Arabidopsis thaliana: one gene and its partner. The protein of the gene in region 2 interacts with the protein of the main gene of each other region in a biochemical or structural test. Each region holds a gene or a part of one and is shown on either strand. Other genes may lie near its edges.

Evidence for each region. Proteins that work in one complex are often made in the same cells at the same time.
Region 1: the proteins of DPA (region 2) and E2F1 form a complex in vitro, tested with the Arabidopsis thaliana proteins (one study listed by BioGRID).

The regions. Positions count from the first base shown.
Region 1 is NC_003076.8:7,358,649-7,365,338, reverse strand, and holds E2F1 (E2F transcription factor 1), read right to left. Parts: upstream 4,805-6,690; 5' UTR 4,591-4,804; coding exon 4,408-4,590; intron 3,938-4,407; coding exon 3,775-3,937; intron 3,644-3,774; coding exon 3,587-3,643; intron 3,506-3,586; coding exon 3,420-3,505; intron 3,341-3,419; coding exon 3,252-3,340; intron 3,158-3,251; coding exon 3,103-3,157; intron 2,645-3,102; coding exon 2,592-2,644; intron 2,518-2,591; coding exon 2,467-2,517; intron 2,390-2,466; coding exon 2,341-2,389; intron 2,254-2,340; coding exon 2,188-2,253; intron 2,108-2,187; coding exon 2,034-2,107; intron 1,949-2,033; coding exon 1,678-1,948; intron 1,548-1,677; coding exon 1,478-1,547; intron 1,362-1,477; coding exon 1,219-1,361; 3' UTR 834-1,218; downstream 1-833. Other genes in the region: OFP10 (Ovate family protein), read right to left, coding at 60-650; AT5G22210 (aspartyl/glutamyl-tRNA (Asn/Gln) amidotransferase subunit B), read right to left, coding at 5,548-5,790. UniProt on the Arabidopsis thaliana protein: Transcription activator that binds DNA cooperatively with DP proteins through the E2 recognition site, 5'-TTTC[CG]CGC-3' found in the promoter region of a number of genes whose products are involved in cell cycle regulation or in DNA replication.
Region 2 is NC_003076.8:541,806-547,090, forward strand, and holds DPA (Transcription factor DP), read right to left. Parts: upstream 3,151-5,285; 5' UTR 2,910-3,150; exon of another isoform or gene 2,625-2,909; 5' UTR 2,619-2,624; coding exon 2,500-2,618; intron 2,413-2,499; coding exon 2,351-2,412; intron 2,268-2,350; coding exon 2,224-2,267; intron 1,985-2,223; coding exon 1,913-1,984; intron 1,825-1,912; coding exon 1,684-1,824; intron 1,590-1,683; coding exon 1,521-1,589; intron 1,300-1,520; coding exon 1,201-1,299; intron 1,123-1,200; coding exon 1,052-1,122; intron 959-1,051; coding exon 757-958; 3' UTR 513-756; downstream 1-512. UniProt on the Arabidopsis thaliana protein: Involved in the regulation of the G1/S transition. Increases the DNA binding and the transactivation activities of E2F proteins after heterodimerization. The complex DPA/E2FA promotes cell division and acts as a regulator of the endocycle.

The DNA of each region.
Region 1 (6,690 bases), 6.8 Mb from region 2:
ATTATTCACAATATTGTAACATCTATATATAGAGAGAGATATGAGGAGGATTTAGTTCCTCATTTTGAAGAAGTTTGGTGTGAGTCATCATCATTGTTATCAAGAGGATTGTTAACATATAGACGAAGCAATCTCCCAAGTGACTTCCCACGTCGGTCGTGTGGTGGTTGGAGATGTGAACAGACGTCGACAAAAGCACGGACGATGAGATTGTGTTGAGGAGAAGGGTTTATGTCCAAGAAACACCTTAGAAGCTCCTTAAGTTCACTTTCCGTCTCGATATATCTCTCTTCGATCATCTGATTCATCGACTTCTTGTAATCTTCGAACGGATTGATTGATTCTTTAGCCATCGCGACGCTCTCATCGATCTTAGGACATGGGCTGCGTAAAACCGTGGGAGAAACCGGTGGTCCCGGGGTGTAGTGGCTGTGAGAGGAAGGTGGAACGGTAGAGCCGCAACCGCATGCCATAAAAATGGGTTTGAATATGGTTTTGAGTATATACTTCATCATCTTCTTGAAAGACATTTTTTTTTTTACTAGAGGAAGAGAAAACAAGTTGAGATTATTGAGTGAGGATGTTGGTGTGGGAAAGTTTGTTAAAAGAGGAACCTTTTTTTCATTTAACTTAGCTTGGAGATTCAGCATTGCTCATTGCTTTGGAGATGCACAATTTTGATGGATTTCTTTTTTAAGGAAAATAATACCATCTTGAGGTGAATTCAAAGTTATATATGATATCATTTGTAAGAAACTATCTCGAGTGATATCAAAGGATTGGACATAGAAACCGATTTGAACCAAAAAGAAATCTCTCAAACCACAACCGAACCAATATGTTTTCGTCAAGATTTTTGATGAACGGAAATATGTTTTAGTTTCGATCTGGTTACCTTTTTGGTAAACCGGAAATGGAGCATGTAAAACTACTAAGCACCCGTCTACAACTCTAAAAGGTTTTGCAGTTTCACATGAACAAGACCAATATTAAGAAATCAATGGGCTAAGGCTAATTCTATATTAAGCCTGAGAAGCTAACAAAGAAAAAAAATGAAGAATACAACGAAGGGGTTGGTTTCTCTACTTTTATTTTGCAATCTCTATTCTATGATAATGCAATGCAGCTACTGTACAAGTACAACATTAACTCTGGTTTCACCGAAATCAGATTCTATGTACAGATATATGGTGGTGCTTGTAATGTGGTATGGTAACTTCAGCTACCTGTAGGTGATCTCGTAGCAGTGGATTCTTCTGGTGTTGGGCTCGATGGAGTTTGTGGCTGCTCCAAGATTTTGTTGTCGCTCGGTCCAGCGTGGTCTTGATCAAATGTAATCATCTGGTTCCAGTCTGGTCCAGCTAATGATGAAAGAGTCAAGGAGCTCTAAACAGATATCATATTTGGGGAGGAAAAAACTCAAAAGCTCAAAGAGAGATTAGATTAAATCACAGAAAGTGATAGAAATCAAGGATACATTCATCTGGCCACATGTCTGTGATGCTGACTTCGCCTACCTCTGATCGAAACCAGTAATCTACACCCATCTGTATATAATGTAACATACAGGTAAATATGAATTAAGTCAAGCATGATTTTTTAGATATGGTTACTTTTCCAGACTGTGATTATGTACATTGGTGAAAATTTTAAGCTGAGGAAGCAGTTGGGACTTACATCCAAATCTGGAGGAACAATCTTCATGATACCATCGACAAAGTCATGAGATTCGATGTCAGAGTAAACTCTTTGCGTATCATCAACTTCCTGTGTTTCCATGTTTCTTTCGGTGCTTTCCTCTTTCATCGGCATAGATACATCATGGTTCTCAGGGAGACCAGATGTTGATGGAAGATTTGAAGGTACATCAGGGACATTAGAGGGTTCATCAGGAACATTTGAAGGTTCATCAGCCTGAGGAATGTCCTCAAAGCTCTCTTCGAATTGACTAAAAAAGCACAATATAAATGTCAGTCTCACTTCCATGTTACAGATTTATCCAGGGCAAGCATAACGTTTGAGGACAGTGTTACCTGACTAGGTACACGTCTATTGGTCCCATTGTGCTTCTCAGAATGATTCTGTACCTCCTCTGATAACCACCAGCCTGATTAATGGCAGGATAAGAGGTGAGAATCGTTACAGACAGTGCATCGCTCATTTGGTTTTGTGCGCTCTTAAGCTTACCTCATCAGGATCTGGAACCTCAAGAGTTGTTCCATGCGGTGCCTTTACAGCTATCAGCGTCTTATTCTAAAATAGGCACCACAAAAACATGTTTCCCCAGTGAGAAGAATGCAAGGCAAAGAGAAACACGTAATTACTAGAAGGAGACCAGACCTGGAAGCATGGTAGGTTCTTAATGTCGTTTTCAGTGACGAACAGTAACCTAAAAAGTGGAGCGTCAGAACAAACAGATATGTTTTATTGTACCTTTCGGCAGAAGAAATAGCAGGGGACGCTTACCTTTTGTTGTTTTCATCCTCACTCAAGCTTGTTAATCTTTCTTGTGATTCTCTGCAACCAGGTCGACTCTCAAAAAGATGATACAAAACAGCAGAAAAGGGAAGGAAAATTATCTGCGAAAATACCTGATTTGGTCATCTAATCTTGCCTCCTCAGCTGCGAGGTTTTGTACTTCATCCTGTAAGATTGGTAACAGGAATTATAAAACATGAATAGTTTTTCGAACCAAAAACCCAAAACAAGAAATCAATGCAAGTGACTGAGATCGAAGAAAAACTGCAGTACCAATTTCCACTTATTCAACAGGTTCAAACATAAAACAGAAACTCATCATTCAAAGGTGCCAGTACGGGTATACAAAACAGAGCTTGTGGTTACATGTCATCGATGTTTGTGTGTATGGTAAATTTACTAGTATCCTAGTTACCTCCTAACACATTTAGCTCTCAGAAAACAGGCATAACAAGAATCATACTAATGCAGATTCATACGATGTTCAAGAAGACAATGCAAGCTAAGATATACCCTTAACGTGAAAACAATAATAAAACTGGTGATAATACTGAGCATTGCATAACAGAGTTCGCAGTGAAATGTGCAATGAAAAGGTAAAGAATATATAGGCATGTTCTGTACCTGTAGGTTAGCTATGCTTTCGATTGTTTCTCCTGGTTTTGAGACATCGAGACCCCTAAGACAGACAAGAAAATTCAGAGTACTGTCGCTCACACATGAGTCATCAAATGGAAGGAATCCAAGATTTGACAGTTCTAAGACATGCTTACTTCCACTGAATCCTGTTCTTAAGCGTCTTCTCTATCAAACCTATTCCTTCTAACACATTGGTTATATCATATATCCTTCTCTTTTGTACCTGCATCAACAGGAACATACAGCTAAGTTTGACAGAAAGTAATACATCAATATGGGAGTCTAGAGTTCAAATATGTCACCTCTAAAGTATCAGCTGCTTTGTTTAGATCAAGAATACCATCCTCTGCTTGTTTTATCAAATTGATAAATTTCTTTGTCAAAAGACCTGAAGCAGATTAAATCATTAAAAAAACTTATTATCCAAAAGTACATTTTTTAAACATTAGTTAATGAAATAAGTTATTACCTAACGAACTATCATATCGACAAGTACCGGCCTGTGCAAAGTTATTTCCAGGAGAACCTGCCAACACAAAAGATCCTTCTCACTACATTGCAATATCTCCACTCTTTAAAGAAGATTTAGCTCAGATGAGCACATAAGAAATATTTCTCATTGGCATACTAACACAGAGCATTTAGAACCAAACTCACCTGCATTAGAGCCAGAAGCTAGCGTTCCAGACTTATTAGACTTCGCAGACCTAGAAGTTTTCTTGGCTTTCCCCCCTTTCCCTGATACAGGTGTTTGAAGAACACCGGTATTCAATTCATTGACCTCAACTATTTGGTTTACCAAATCTGTCTTACGCTTCAGCTGCCAATAAAGTCACCAAAATTGAACAGTTAAATACATCAACGAATTGAACAGAATCAAATCCTATCAGCATCATACTGTCACTATGCTGAAATCTAAAAGCATAGACACAACTTTTACCAATTCCAACATAGCAAAATTCAGAAACTAATTTAACTAAACATAAACACAAAAGTGCATGAATCTGCTCTAAATAGCAATAACAGTAACACCACAAACCCTAAGTCCAGCAACTAAACTACTCAATAAGTACTTGCAATGCTAATTCCAATACTACAAACAAGGTTAATCAAAAGAGACCAAACGCAATTAACACCAACAGAAGCAGATCCCGACACAATTCTCATCAAAATCTAAAGCAACGACATCATCAAAATCATAATCAATAAAACCAAACCTCACACACAATCGAAAACACGAGAATTATAAAGCAAAATTCACAAGCAAAATTGAGAAGAAAAAAGACTTACAGTAGATTTGATCACAATCGCGTCAGAGACAACCTGATCAGCAACAGCTCCACCACCGCGAGTCTCCGCCGCATCAAACCGGTGATACTCACCAGGAGCAACTAGAGGAGGCTTCATAGAAGAAAGAGAAGGATGAAGCTGCCGCTTAGAAGATGGGAATTGTTGAGGTACTTCTTCAGACATAAGAACGAATCTCGATAAAAAATCCCCCAAAAAAAAAAAGAAACGGCGAAAATTGTCACGGAAACTCGGATCTCCGGTAAGCAGAGATCCCAATAACGATTAAGAAGCAGATCTACGGCGGGAATTACGGAGATTCCGGGAAGAGAATGTGAAGAGATCGGCGAATCGAAAAAAAGCGGGAGAGGAGAAGAAGATGAAGAAGAGGAAGGATTATAAAAAAAAAAAAAAAAAGAGACGGTGGAAGAGGAAGAGAGAAAACGAGGGAATGAGTTGCGTTTGGTTCTGAATACTGATGTGGAGGGAATTAGCGCTCTTTATCTCTCTCTTTGTACACAAATCTTTTTACCAATATCTCTCTACTAAATAATAATAATCCTATTTTTATATATAATACAAAATTATAAAATTTTAAGTAAGTTTTTTTTTTTTTAAAGTCAACGAAGTTAATAAAGCTATGTAACTAATTTGGATACAGTTTTATTTCCTTGAGATTGAGGGGAAAAAAATGAATTTTGGATTTATTCATGTTAAGAAGTGGAGCATAATAATTTCATCAAACTGTTGCAGCATCCGTTACACGCGTTAAGTGTGAGCAATTATCGTCAAAATCTGTCGAACTTATACGTTTTTTTGTTTTTAATTCATAGGTGAGGCAAAACTATATTGATGAAAATTATGCTCATGAGTGTCTCATCATTTAACAACTTTTTTAAATGGAACCTCGAAACATAGGGATTCCAAATCATAGCACCAAGACAATAGAAACATGTGTCGTCTGAATGCAGACACTTGGATCTCTTATGAATGCTATACTGTTTAGAGAAGATAATATATATTTATAGACTGAGCTTCCAAAACACAAGCTTTAAGTATGACTGTATGAGTAATCAAAAAAGATACTAAGACTTTGAAAGCTTCATACATAACAAACAGAGACAACAATAGAAGAACCCCTTTTTACTTGAACAAATGGGCAAGATCAGGGTCATCTAAATCTACATCAAGCGATCCATTTAACCGCATAAACTCGATGTAGCTATCTGGAGGAGTGATCGCACGAGTGTTGTTCTTCGGTTTGAATCCATGAACTCTCTGGAGATCTCTTGCGAGCCAACGCAGAAAAACTTTGTCCAATGGAGGTACAATCTTCAAATGGATCTCTTCGCGTTCTTCTTTCACCGTTGTAGCTTTGTTTCCCATCTTGCAAAACCCGATCTTTACATACATCATATATAGTATCGTCACATTGTCCAAACCACAAAAACAAGTTATCTAGTCAACAAGATGATTATGCAACACTTTTAGCAGATGCATTTTGGGATTAACACTTAACACAATCTATAATTTCTCCATGCACACCAATATTGCAAGTGTGTAACATTTACATGTTCGGATGCAAATTATCTCGTGAATAACACAATCGTCAATTCGTCATAACCATCTAAAAGGAGAGACTAAAAAGTTCTATAGAAGCTATACACTAACCTTAAGGACCATCAAAACCTTAATTAAGAGACCAAACTATTATACATCAACCAAGTAATCATCTCAGCGTCCATTTTTAAAGCTATCTTTGTTCCACTATGTCCAAGAATCATAAGATCCTCGAGCAAATAAATTGTACAAGATGAGACATCTATGAACCACCAATTCAAGGTCAATTCTTCAAGATGATTAACATGATAATATCAATTAGAAATCAACTCATTCATGAATACTAAGTCTACATTTAAAACCCCTAAATCAATGAGAAAACTGGAGAAATTACTTCAAATTTCTATCATCACTATATACCCAAAAAATCAGGTAAAATCCTAGCCAGCAAATTAAGCTTAGCGATATGATATAGATTCAAGAGATTTTACCTTTTTCAATCAGAGAGACAAAACATCAGAAACCGAAAGTGAGTCGAAGAATTTCTGACCAGACAGACACTATAGAGCGTTTTGCAGAGCTAAACCAATGTCGTATCGCTAGCTGTATGTCATTTTCTGGGTTAAGCCTAGTAACATAAAAAGCCCATTAGCTTTCACTTTTTCTTTGGGCCAACTGTTATGGTTTAAATGTGGAAACATAGCGACGAATGCTCAAAAAGGTGAA
Region 2 (5,285 bases):
AGTTGTTCTATAAGAAAATTAGGGCTGATATGATATCTACTGCTTTTGTGGACTATATCAGCTACAAATCTAATTATACAGAAGAGAAATTGGTTGTGCTTGAATTTTAGTACGTCTATATACCTCAACTTTAACTAAACAAGTAACTAATAGATTGGACTAAAATGGGCCAACACTAATTACTAAATAATATTAGATGATATTGATTTAAAATGTATTGAGAATGAGTAGATTAAGTTGATGAAAAGAATAGTATATAGTATTTATTTTGACGGCAATTGAAAAACAGTCCAACATTCTTCCGAAGTGTCCCCAACCAATTTCGCTTTTCTTTCCCTCGAACCGCCGCGATGTCTCTTTTTTTCCTTTTCCAGACAAAAAACATTATTTTTGCATGGGAATTGCAAATTTTGAACTTTCCTAGCACACGCGCCATTTAAGCGCGTAAATTGAATCTAACTAGCTTCGGTAAACCAACCTAACCGGAGACTAAATTTGTTAGACCAATCAAACAGAAGGAAAATAGCCAATAGATTCAACACGGTTAGTTTTGGTTTAAAACAATAGTTTCTGTTTCCGTTGAAATATCGCATCAAGTTCGAATAAAAAGGAAAATTGGATAAACAAACATTTGTTGGCCTATGAATTGATTTTACAGTCTCTCTCAATTGAACACTAAACCAGATGTATAATTTTTTAGTATACCAATTAGATCATTACTTCTTCTTCTTGAAGAATTTGGGAATAGAAGCTCGGTCAGCGAGTATCAATGGATCCCGAGTTCCAGCAAACCGGGCCTGAGGTTCCAGAAGCAATGCAAGAACTGGATGAAGAATGAGCGGAGCTATGTTGAGATTGGTGATGTGTAGATGAAGAAGAAGATACTCTGTTCTGTTCTTGCTTCTGTTCTTGCATCAGTTTCAAAATGTAAGCATCATCATGGACCGAGAAAGGTGTGCTGCTCACAACAAAATTTACGAAGATTTCAATTCCGATTTAAGAGATAGCAGAACTGATTTTGATTTTGAGAAGAAATGTTGTTTATTTTTACCTATTGAAGTCGAGGTGTACAAGTTGCATATCTTCAGAAATCTCGATTTCGACTACTGCGTGAGGGTTTGTCTATAGAGATGGAAATAGATTAGGATATCGAAAAACATGAAATAGAAACTACGGACGAGAAAGAGATTTTTGAAGTACCTCAAGTAGAATGAATGGTAAGGTAAATCCTTCTGCTGGGCCTTGAGTCTTCACAACCATCTCTTGATTTCTCGACATAAGACTCTCAAGACTTGAGACCTGATGATAACAACATTTGAGTAACATTATAAGCAAAACGTAGAAAGACGGTTTAACATTTCATTAAGACAACATAAAATGATTCAATACACGACGTATCTATGGATTCTAGAAAACCTGCAATATCAATAACTTTTGTCATCTATTGACATGCATAACAAGATCTCAAATTCTAAGAGAGTCTTGTATTTAAATTTTCCATCAAACAGAAAGAAGATCACCTTTTCTCTCAACTCTTTAAGAAAAGCAGCCTTCTTTTGCACACTGCTCATAACTTTATTACGATCCATCTGCAAATAGAGGTAGAGAGATTAGTAGAGAAGACGAAGAGAGAGAGCAATTACATAGATGAGATAACTGAAAGGAAAAGCTTGGAAGCTAAACCTTGACTTCTTCCACATCCTTTTTGCAGGTAATAGGAAGTCCTTTCCACCGGATTTCCTTTTTATCCCTTGCAATAATATCCAACGCCATGAACACATTGAGCGCATCGTAGACTCTCCGCCTTATGTTCTTCTCATTGTACTGATTGAACATAAGAGAATGTTGTTATAGCTTTTTTTTTTTCCAAATAACTCAAGACAGATGATATGAGCTTTCCATCTCGCTATACCTCATTTTCATTCAAAGGCTTCTCTGCGTTTTGCTTAATTGTGGCAAAATCTGAAATAATTTCGTCTGCAACCTGGAATCACAAGAGCCACAGTCTCAAACGTAGATTTTCACATTTTCTGATACAATGCCTCTATATAAGGGCAAGACTCCTGATTAGAAGAAGAATTTGAGACAATGCTCAACAACTAACTTAGAGGATTGCTTCTTGAAGTGAATACTTGTTCATATAAAGATCAATTCTAATGCGTCTTAAACTGAAAACTCATTGATTACATCACCAATTCCTTAATGGAACAAAGAGAGTAATACCTCCTTGTAAGTAGTTATCTTCTTGGCTTCCAACTTCTGACAAACTGTGTGAAGTTAAATCAAAATCAGCAAAACAACAATACTTTCACTTCAGGCATGTTTGAGCTAAGAGAGATATATCACTGACCCATAACACTGAATTGACGAAGCCCGCCTCCAGAAGTTCTTGATTGCCCTTTCTTCTCTGATCTTTTAAACACAAATTCAATACAGACATTTTAGCTCCAAGTAAAAAAACCAGAGACTTTGTGAGTAAGAAGAATAATTAACACTGACCCAATTTCAGAATCATCATCAACAATCAATTTCCTTCTCACTGGAGTTTTCTCAACGCTCACTGAAGGATGTTGCCTCTGCTTCTCTGGAGTGACAAACAACTCCATCTCCATACTCATCCTTCTCTACACAATTTACCAATTAACAAAGTTAGCTACACGAAATCAAATCAATTAGTTGTTCATGTCTCAAATCCATCGTTGACTAAAACCGATGAATCAATAGACACAATCTAAAAAACCCTAAATTGTTGACAGCTCCAATTTCAATTTTTTAACAAAAGCTAAACAAAATTTATGAAATGGGAATCATCAACCAGTTGGATTAGATCTAACGATGGTGAAGAAAACCCTAGTTCAGAGAAATAAAGGCTAAAGCTCGAATCCGTTTCAAAAGATCAAAGAACGAACCAGTGATCGATCTTCCAATGGCGGAATAAAAAAAGATGGAGATTTTTTTTCTAGGGTTTTGGTTTTACTCTTTTTATTACACAGAGATGCGAACAACAACCAAAAAAAAAAAATCGGAGATGAAATTACTTTGGGTGAGAGTTCCCGCTATAAACAAACAAACAAACTGTAACAACAAACAAACACAGAATTCTCCATAGCCCATCAAAAGCCTCAACAAAAACAAAACACACGCACTCTCTGTGTTCGAACCCAACCGCTACGGTGTCGTTTTTCAACTTTGGCGGGGGATTTAAATGGGCCTTTTGTAACTCTTTGTAATTTTAAGCCCGTTGGGCTAATTATATGTCTAAAATCGATCACGTATTAAACTCTTTGATAATCGATAACGTTACCAAATAAATAATGAAAATTTGGCTGTCTCTATTACATATGTTGACAGTTGTGTTTGTATTCGATCCAATTGTTTAAAAAATAATAATATTAAGTTCACTGAATCTTGAAAAAATGTTTGGTACGTATGCATTTAAGTTATTGAAAACATTATCGCTAGCTTATAAAGTTTATGATTTTTTCGTCTTATATATAAGACATGGTCCGTATCATCAACTTGTAACTATTAAAAAAAAAAACTCACTATTCTCATATACTTTTTATTTCTTTTCTAAGATGCTTATAGTTTTACACGTTAGTGCTTTAAGCCTGCAACGTGTGAGAAGGTTGCGTTGCACTTTCACTAGATCGAAAGAATATATGCATAGTTGCTTGATCCTTTTTCTTTTTCTTCTTTATACGATGATCGTACTCGTATAGTACTGAAAACTATATGATAAATTTCAGCATAACTGTTTGTTCAAGTTGTTAACCGATTAAAAGCTTTAAAGTTTGAAAAAGGATATGTTTATGATAATTGCAACCACTTGGTACTTGCCACTTGTTCTCCATGATTGTTTTTTTTCTCTCCATATGAAGATTAAATTAAATTATTTTGTTTGTAGTTTTAACTAGTTCGAGTTGATAAGAAAGTTTGGAGCATGGCCATGAGAACCAAAGCTGTTCCTAGTTCCTACGCTGCTTGATTGCGGAGAGTCATTCTCTTACTCATTGCTTCATCATCATTTCCAACCGTTTAGAGTTTCACTAGCCATGTTTCTCTTCTTCACCTCTTTTTTTGTTTAACCTTTATGTATACCTTCCTTCTCGTATACCTTAATCAGACCGGTATGGACTAATCAATTCCTCATGCTATTCATAGCTATGCACTATCATAAGATTTTGAAACAATATAACTTCAAATTTGATTTGTTTACTTTGATGTTTCTATGTGTTGTCAGAATATATAAATATATGTTTTGTCATTACAAAAAAAAGAAATAGTGTGATCTATTTAAATGTTTGTTTGCTGTTTGTATATCTGTCGTTGTTTTGGGAGATGAGAGGTGGCAACTCCCAATATCTTTTTGGGGTCATCTTCAATGTCTTCTCAGATCTCAATTATTGAGTTTTTAAAGTCATGTTTGATTCTTTCTTCTCTTTTTTTTGGTTCACTAATTCTACTCTTTAATTAGTCTTCTTTTTTTGTCAACTTTCGTTTATATCACATAAACAATTATATCTATTGCAGTAAATATATTATTCATAATGTTCAAGTGTCCCTTGAGGAACTGAACATACAATAAACAAAATAATGTTACCGTATCATATGGTATGCGTATTTATTCCAGTAGCTTTTTCTTTCTTAACATCTGAAATCTAGTAGAGTAATAGACTATTTATTTAATTTTGGAAATTTAATATGTTTTTTATATTTTTCCTATGTTTGCCCAAAATTGTTTTTACACAATCATTACTCGCCTTCATAAATTAAAAACTGACATGGTGAAATACATCAACAAGCTAATATGATACTCATAAAACTGACTCAAAATGCATTTTTTTTTTTTAAAGTAAAAAATATGTTGTCCTCGTAGTTATCCTCAAACTCTTTGATTCGATTGTTTTAGAATTTATAATACACTTAGATAGTCAACAAAGCTGGATTAGTTAATTAAATTCGTAGGCCGATGTATACTAAACACTGATGATGACGCATAATCCTACTTCAATGGATAAATAACTATACATAAAAAATAGTATTAATTTTGTTACACTCACTGGGGGCACAATAATGCAATTCGTCACTACAATTGATTTAAATAATATTTTAGGATTAGTAATCATATCACTCAACTAATCACCAACAATGTCTCCACATAGACCACAACTATCTAGCAAGATTATAACAACACCTATCACAAACAAGAGTTTTCGCTACATATACAATACATACAAAAAAATCATATACACATCGGTAACGAGAAATCATACATATATCAT